Linked DNA regions of Macaca mulatta. Each later gene encodes a partner of the first gene's protein in a complex. Links are inferred from orthologs where the notes say so. Each region holds a gene or a part of one and is shown in the gene's direction. Other genes may lie near its edges.

Region 1 (4,327 bases):
ATCCACTGATGGATGTTAAAATTAGTGGTGAAAGTTTGAGGAGAAGTATATCTGCATAGTCTAAAAGTATCTCTCTCAAGATATTTATTTATTACAAAGGGGAAAATAGTAACTTTACACTGGAGAAACTCATCAGATACCAGACACTTTAATTATGTAATGAAGTAATTTAATTATTAACATCACTGGTAATAGGACATATTGACATAATAGCCCTCCTTATAGGATGCAGTGAGAAGGTATTCTCACCAAAAATGCATAACTGCAATCTAATAATAAGAAAATATCTGATAAACCCGGTTAAGGGACATTATACAAGTAACTGACCATACAAGTGTTAAAGTCATGAAAGACAATGAAAGACTGAAGAACTGTCACAAATTGGAAAAGACTAAGGAGATTTGACAACTAAATTCCATGTAGGATCTTGGAACAGAAAAAGGATATTAGTGGAAAAACTGATAAAGTCTATGGTGTGGTTAATGACATTATACCAATATTAACTTCTTGATTTTTATAATTGTACCATGGTCATATAAGATGTTAACACTGGGGAAAGTGGGTGAAGAGTATATAGGAACTCTGTATACTATTTTTGCAAGTTTTTTTTAAAGAATAAATTAAGAAAAAAATTTAAGGCAAAACCAAATCAATAAAAACCAAACACTTCCTCAATCCCATGTCTTCCACCTTATCTCTTTACTAAACTTATTTCTATTCCTTACCTCCCATTTGCCCCTCACCTCACTCCTGTCTGTCTTTTGCCCCTGGTATGCCACTACGGCAGCTCTGTGCAAAGGCCAACAATGACCTCCATGCCACTGAATCGGGTAGATATTTTCCAGTCCTCATCTTGACCTTGTGGCGGCATTCAGTGTTACAGATCAATTCCTCTTTGAAACATTATCTTCCCGTGCCTCACCCAACACGATGTCACCTGGTTTTCTTCCTACTTCTCTGATTATTCCTTCTCTTTCTTTGGTAGATACCCTCCTTTTCTCAGCCTTTAAATATTGACATTCTTCATTGCTCCATTTAAACTCTTCCAAATCTATATTTAGGCATGGAGTGATTCTGTCTGCATTAACAGCTCAATTACTATGTATACACAGATAGATCACAAACTTTTATCTTCAGCCCTGTATACTAACTTCCTACACAACATGTCCATTCAACAAAAGCAAATATATTAACCAAAATACATTTTGAACACCAAATTGTCTATATGGCATTGTAATAGATGCAAATAATTATAAGTCATCCTATCTTCATGGAGCTTAGTCTAAAAATATAGAGATAGGACCTATAATGTAGTGATTAAGGTCATAGGCATTGGAGTCCTGTAATTGGAACCCTGCTGGGTTCAAATCATGGCTTTATCACTAGTAATGGTCTGACCTTGAGTAAATTAACCTCTGTTGGTGTTAGTTTCCTCTTCTGTAAAATAACGGTGACAAATCTTTCCTCATAGGGCTGTTGCAAAGATGAAATGGGACCATGTAAGTTAAAGCATTCAGTGGTGCAGATCCAAAGCAAACTCTCTCTCTTATGGTAGTAGTATTTATTAAAGTAGTGGTGGAGAAATGTTAGAATAAAAGGTAATATATGCAAGTGCTAAGACAGTTCTAGAAACAGTAAATGTAGAAAGAATTCTAAGGAAGGAGACCTGTGAAACTGGGATGGGCAGGGAAGACATTCTGAAGGTAGTGGGCCTGGAATGGAGAAGAAGTTAAATTTCTGATTAAAAACAAACTTTAATAAAGAAGCAGTGTGCCAAGGTAGAAACCGTAAAAGATTAGTAGTAAGGAAATGTGAATTTAAATCAGCTCTACCTCTGAATAGCTGTAATTTTAGATGAGTTCATTTTTAGATACAGGTTTTTTTTTCCATATCATTTTCTGTTATTCTCAGATAATGTTATCTGTTCTAATCACCTTTTATAGTTGTTGTCAATAATAGATGTGAAAATATTTGTTGTACAGTAAAATATGGTATAAACTTTAGTCATTTATTGGTGAGTCAATGTACCTTAGTGGAGTGAGTATGCTTTTGGAGTTGGTAACCCCTGTGTCTGGATCCACTTACTAGCTGTGACCTCGGCAAGTCACTTCACCTCTAAGCTGTGGTTTTCTTATCTTTAGAATGGAAATAGTACTCCTTACCTCATGTCAATGTTGTGAGGATAAAATAGTTACGCTTCATTTGTGAGGGCCCACTAGCAGCCAAGCAGGGCGAGGCACCATGAACTGTAAAGGTGGTATATACACTGGGCCTTCGATCATTGGTGACTTCATCAAGGCTATCATTTGCCTTAGGATTCTCTCAGTGTAGCACATATGCAAATAACGTGACAGATAATGTGACAAATCTCTATTTCAGATCCCATGTTAGATCTGGATATTCAAGAACTAGCCAGTCTTACTACTGGAGGAGGAGATGTGGAGAATTTTGAAAGACTGTTTTCAAAGTTAAAGGAAATGAAAGGTAATCGGATCCCTTGTGTCTAATATGTTCCCGTATTGATGCTTGTCTGTTTTATGTAGTAGCATTTTATTTTGTTCACTGCTGGATTGGATTCCTTGTTCTGGTCTCAGCTGTCTTGAGAAACTTAGCTACTCGTGGGACTTGGTAAAAAAAAATTTCCATCTTCATTCTCTTTCCTTTTACTTTTCCTGCTTTTGCCTTCTTCTGTTTCTTTCAACGTGTTACGTGGCCTGTGCTATTAGACAAATTTCTTAAGATGCATTTTCCCCCTAGACAAGGCTGCGACACTTCCTCACGAGCAAAGAAAGGTGCATGCAGAAAAGGTGAGACAATCAGCCGGGTATTTAGTGAGTACCTATAAAAGGTCCAGTGCTATTATTATAATTATATATCACACTTGTGTATTTCTGAAGGTCTTAGTGTGAGCTTTTCATTGAATATTAACTTCTAACTAATTAAGTATTTATACAGTAATAGTATAGTTGCTGCATTCAAACCAAGATTTTTCACCTCTATGGTGAGTGACATGGAACCTTCATTGAGACTCACAATGTTTGCCTTTCTAACTATTGGGCCAGAAGACTCTTAGTTGTTTTGTTATATTATTACCAACACATGTTATTGGCAGGAAACTTGGATGGTTGATGGTGTTCCCTGATATGAATGTGTCATAATTTATCCTGTTCCCTTTTGGACATTTAGGTCATGTGCATTTTTTGCTTCTATAAATAATGAAGCTGTGCATATCCTTACACATCATCTTTGTATACAACTCTAAATATATCATTGGTATAAATTTCTAGATGTGGCGATCATGGATCAAATGGTATTCAAGGGTTTTGATATGTGTTGCCAGAGGACTGGAGGGCAAAGTGCAGAATTGTAGGTCTCAGTCAGTTCAAGGCATAACATATGAAACAAGCTGAAATGTAGCTGTTGCCTAACATTTGTTGCATGCTTCTCTCCACAGGTGGCCAAAGCATTCTGGATGGCAATCGGGGGAGACAGAGATGAAATTGAAGGCCTTTCATCTGATGAAGAGCACTAAATTATTCATACTGGGGTTTGACTAACAAATGCTAGCTGTCTCTGAGATCTCTCTCTACTCAGCCCAGTCATATTTTGCCAAAATTGCCATTATCATGTTGGCTGCCTGACTTGTTTATAGGGTCCCCTTAATTTTAGTTTTTAGTAGAAGGTTAAGGAGAAATCCTTTTTTCCTCAGTATATTGTAAGAGAGCGAGGAATACAGTGATAGTAATGAGTGAGGATTTCTTAAATATAAATTTTTTGTTGTTGTTCTAGGAATGAGGGTAGGATAAATCTCTGAGGTCTGTGCGATTTACTTAAGTTGAAGACAACCTCCAGGCCATTCCTGGTCAACCTTTTAAGTAGCATTTCCAGCATTCACACTTGATACTGCACATCAGGAGTTGTGTCAACTTTCCTGGGTGATTTGGGTTTTCTCCGTTCAAGGAGCTTGTAGCTCTGAGCTATGATGCTTTTATTGGGAGGAAAGGAGGCATCTGCAGAATTGACGTGAGCTATGTGGGGCCAAAGTCTTAGCCCACAGCTTAGTCTCTACCTAAGAAAATGCTTCTGGGCATTCTTTTGAAGTATAGTGTCTGAGCTCATGCTAGAAAGAATAAAAAAGCCAGTGTGGGTTTTTAGACTGTAATAAATGAGGCAAAGGATTTCTATTCCAGTGGGAATAAAACCTCTCTAGTGAGTTGTGGGAGATAGGTTGTATGTTAGAGAGAACCTTAAGGAGTCCTTGTATGGGCCACGGAGACCGTAGGTGATCATATACTGTGATTTTCGTAAAGAAACTCTTCTGCCTTAG
Region 2 (4,327 bases), on another chromosome or scaffold:
GTAACTTTTTGAGAGCTCAGTTTCTCAGTCTTGCTTTGGTTTGTTCTAATCCTGAACATTTTAGATTGCTATATAGCAATTCCATCACTTACTGAAATCTTTGAAGGCTGGAGCCCAGATATTTGTACCAATAGACTAACTAGAAAATAACTCTCATTTTATTGAAAGAAATTCTAGGTGCCAGGATTCAGGATTCTAGGTAAATAAACTACACCTTGATAGTGCATGCATGCATTTAAGAAAAGTGGTATGAAAACCTGTTACATTCCCGGCATTGTTCTTTTTGAATTTTTTGGAGATGGAATCTCACTCTGTCACCCAGGCTGGAGTGCAATGGCATGATCTCGGCTCACTACAACTTCTACCTCCTGGGTTCAAGCGATTCTCTTGCCTCAGCCTCCCAAGTAGCTGGGATTGCAGGCATCTGCCACTATGCCTGACTAATTTTTGTATTTTAAGAGAGATGGGGTTTCACCATGTTGGCCAGGCTGGTCTGGAACTCCTGTGAGTTCCAGGTGATCAACTCAGGTGATCCACCTGCCTCGGCCTCCCAAAGCACTGAGATTACAAGTGTTAGCTATCATGCCCGGCCTTTCCTGGCATTGTTCTAATGGCTGTAAATACATCAGTGAACAAGACAGATGACATTCCTGCTGTCATGTAGTATACATATTTGTTAAGTAACCAAATAAAATATTTTCAGAAATGGGGTTGTGTTCGGTGGGACAGCTCTTATTATGCCTATTACTTGAATTTGTAATGAGTACATTGAGGACACAGAGTTTTAGTAGTCAGTTCCCAGTCACAGTAATTGAGTGTTAATTGCTAGAGCCAGGCTTCAAATCCAGATCCTTTTGGCTTTAAAGCCTGCGTATTCTTTTTACCATACCTGCTTGCCACGGCAAGACCATTACTAGAAAGGACCCACCATAGGTGAGAGAACTAAGCCTGAGAGGTAACATGATTTTGCCCTTGGAGACCCAGGTAATTGATGCCTAAGCCAGGAACAGAACACAGCTAACTTGACCTTGTATGCAACACCCCACTGCAACTCCTGGAAGGAGTTATGCTCCTTAGATATGCTCTTGCAAAGGGTGTCTATAAAACTCATTGGGAAAAACAGAGGTAACCTTCACAGACTGATATTCAATGGACTAAATTACCAGCAAGTGCCTGCAAAGCTCCATCTGCTGGGCCCAAGGTTGGAGTCTGACAAGTTGAGGAGGGAGGCCCACACAGAATGACTGAAGTCCATTGTGAAGCGGGAGAGTGGGGAGCGTGGGCTCCTGACAGCCCTGGTCAGGGCTTTCTATTTTACAAAAAACAATTGACAAGCTGGAGAGGGGTGTGACGACACCCTGATTACCAGGGGTGAAAGGATACTGTCCTCCTGATAATAGCTCTTCAAGGTACAATTTTGTTGAGAGCCTTTCATGCATAATTAACGGAAGTAATCCAACCCCCACAGCATTTTCATATTTTCTGATTTATATTTCAGGAGGCTATTGGGGGTGATGAATAATGATTTCATTCTTGGATGAGGAGAGGCTCGGGGGGGAGGAGGTGACTTTACATATTCACGGGAAAAACTGTCTCCAGGTTGCTTAATGTATCGTCATATTTTCCTTTTGTTATTTTTCATTTCAAGGTATGCTAGTTTATATTTTTGCTGTGCAATAGAAAATCAGGACAATGAGCTCTTGACGCTAGAGATTGTGCATCGTTACGTGGAGCTGCTGGACAAATATTTTGGAAATGTAAGTGTTGTCCTTGTCGGTTAGGATTAGCTACAGTCCCCATCTCAGCTCTTACTTCAGTTCTGTCTCTCATCGCATTCCTTTTCTCTCTCACATCTAAAATATGAATTGAACTTGAACCAAAGATCACCTTAGTCCCCTAAGATTAGAATACAAGACTTTTCTCCCTACCTGTAATTCTCAGTAAATGAAAGACCCAAAGCTTTCCTTTTTCCTTTTTAAATAGAGACAGGGTCCTGCTATATTGCCCAGGTTGGTCTTGAACTCTTGGCCTCAAGCAATTCTCCCACCTCAGCTTCCCAAAGAGCTAGGATTATAGGTATGAGCTACCACGCCCGGCCACCCAAAGCTTTCGAGAGGTGGATATATCTTTATCTTCAAACTACAAATGCACCAGAGACCTTATTTCAGTGAACCAGAATTTAACTCTGAAGGATTTCTTGATATTCTGTTCTTTATACTTCATTGACATTGTCATCTCTTTTCTGTTTTGACTTTTTATCCTTTCTCTGGCTTTTTTTCTAAGCTATAAGTATTCTTAGTTATTTATGCATAAGAAAAATAGCAACAAACAACAAAACCAGATCCTTTTCTTTCACATTGTTATTCAATAATCTTTTTGCACTTTCTGCCAAGCGATATGCTATACTAGGTGCTCCTGTCCTCAGAACTCATTCACTTGGCCGTGCTTACAGCATGGGTCCATCTTGACTCTCCAAGGAAATCAGCAAGTTACCACTGAACCCTCCTGTGGGTTGACACCAGCGATTCCTCTTGAGTCTTCACCTGCCTTCACCTGCTTCTCGCTGCAGCACCGTACCCTTGTTCACCATGACGCTTTCTTTAAATTCTTGATTTTGCCATGACATTGATTTCTGCTGACACTTGTCCTGTTATTTCTGAAGGCCCCTCCTTGGTTTCTTCCACTCAGCCATCCCTAAATGCCCTCATTTCTTCCTAACTCTGTGTGTACTGACTCTCTGCCCTGGAAATCCCTTACTATGTGACTCTTCTTCCCCTGGTTGGTGACAGTCTTCACTGGGCTTCTCATGGTCCAGAACCAAACTCATCTACTGAAAATCTGTTCTGTCTTGTGATTGGAATTTGTTATGTTCCAGGATCCTTCCGTGCAAAAGGATGCTGTTTCTTTTGTCTTTTTCTACACTTTACCGGAATCTGCCTCTATCTATTCAAATTGGGCTGACATTCATTTCCTTCTTTCCACTCTCACTGGTATAGGTTCACTTGGAATTTCAATTTTGCTTTTCTCTTAAACATCCTACCTGGCTTTTTATGCCTCTGAGCTTTTCTCTGTTCGCCCTCTTGCCTTATGAGTTACCATCTTCCTTAAAAAACCCAGATATAGGTGTGGCATTCCTTCACAGCCACTTTCCATCATGTACAATAAATAAAGTCAATCTCCTTAGCCTGTCGTTTAACCTTTCAAAGCATGGATCCCTGACCACTCCTCCAGCCTTATTGCACTTCCCTTTTTTATTGATTGATTTATTTATTGAGACAGAGTTTTGCTCTTGTTGCCCAGGCTGGAGTACAATGGCATGATCTCTGCTCACTGCAACCTCTGCCTCCCGAGTTCAAGTGATTCTCCTGCCTCAGCCTCCAGAGTAGCTGGGATTACAGTCCTCCGCCACCATGCCTGGCTCATTTTTATATTTTTATTAGAGATGGAGTTTCACCATGTTGGCCAGGCTAGTCTTGAACTCTTGACCTCGGGTGATCCGCCTGCCTTGGCCTCCCAACATCAGGCGTGAGCCACCGCCTCCAGGCTACATTTCCCTTTTTATATACCTGAGAGTTCTCCAGCAACAAGGAATGACCTTGGAGTGTCCCTCATTGGCACCCAATTTGCTCGACCACCAAATTGCAATTCTGTTGAGACCATGCTTTGTGACTCACTTTATACCCCCACCGCTTAACTTGTAACAGCTGTGGGCCAGATCTGATAGCAAATGTTCCAAAACATTTAATCCAGTTAACAGTCTCAAGAAATAAATCACTGGATTTAGAAAGCATTTTCTTCTCTTAATACCCTCTTCCCTTACTCACTGAAGATTTTTGTTAAGTGTTATGATAATCTGCTTCCAGAAGAGTTTTTTTTGGTTATTCTCGTTAACAGAATGAGCAGTATTTGCAATATTGAACAAATTTTATCAAATTTGTTGCAACACTTTTCATAAGGATGAACACTGGATAGATTTCTAAAACAATTTTTCCTCCCTCCCTTTTCTTCCCCCTTGCAAATGATATTGTAAGACCTAAAATGTTACTTCAGGGATTTCAGGTTGTTGGTCAGTATATAACAGCAATAAGACAACTAGACCATCTTTTCTTTCTCCTCTTGGTGTACTAAGTTTATTTTCATTTTTTTAAAGGAAAAATTTGCAAATGTATAATAGCACGTTTTCAAACATATTATTTAATTTAATACTTTCTACTATTCAAATGAATTCTCACATTTTTGTACTTTTCTTTGAAATAAACTACAGACTTTGCCTTTTGCAAGAGCCTGAAGAAGTTTCCCTGAGGTCTGAGCATTCCCATAACCTGCC

What was found. Proteins that work in one complex are often made in the same cells at the same time.
Region 2: the proteins of AAGAB (region 1) and AP1S3 are in contact, whole or in part, in a crystal structure (PDB 9DDT), measured with the Homo sapiens proteins. The link is inferred for Macaca mulatta from reciprocal best matches to the Homo sapiens genes AAGAB and AP1S3. Residues at the interface, in NP_078942.3 of Homo sapiens: Asn51, Lys52, Tyr53, Tyr54, Glu108, Val109, Met110, Ile111, Gln128, Ile132, Gly135, Phe136, Glu137, Asp151, Phe153, Pro154, Glu155, Arg161, Gln164, Ala165, Asn167, Ala168, Asn169, Val170, Met176; in NP_001034658.1 of Homo sapiens: Arg10, Gln11, Lys13, Arg15, Gln37, Leu40, Ser41, Arg61, Tyr62, Ala63, Ser64, His85, Val88, Asp92, Phe95, Val98, Glu100, Leu101, Asp102, Ile104, Phe105, Asn106.

The regions. Positions count from the first base shown.
Region 1 is NC_133412.1:44,727,480-44,731,806, reverse strand, and holds part of AAGAB (alpha- and gamma-adaptin-binding protein p34), read left to right. Parts: intron 1-2,379; coding exon 2,380-2,484; intron 2,485-2,757; coding exon 2,758-2,807; intron 2,808-3,454; coding exon 3,455-3,532; 3' UTR 3,533-4,327. UniProt on the Homo sapiens protein: May be involved in endocytic recycling of growth factor receptors such as EGFR.
Region 2 is NC_133417.1:129,025,769-129,030,095, reverse strand, and holds part of AP1S3 (AP-1 complex subunit sigma-3), read left to right. Parts: intron 1-1,648; coding exon 1,649-1,757; intron 1,758-4,327. UniProt on the Homo sapiens protein: Subunit of clathrin-associated adaptor protein complex 1 that plays a role in protein sorting in the late-Golgi/trans-Golgi network (TGN) and/or endosomes.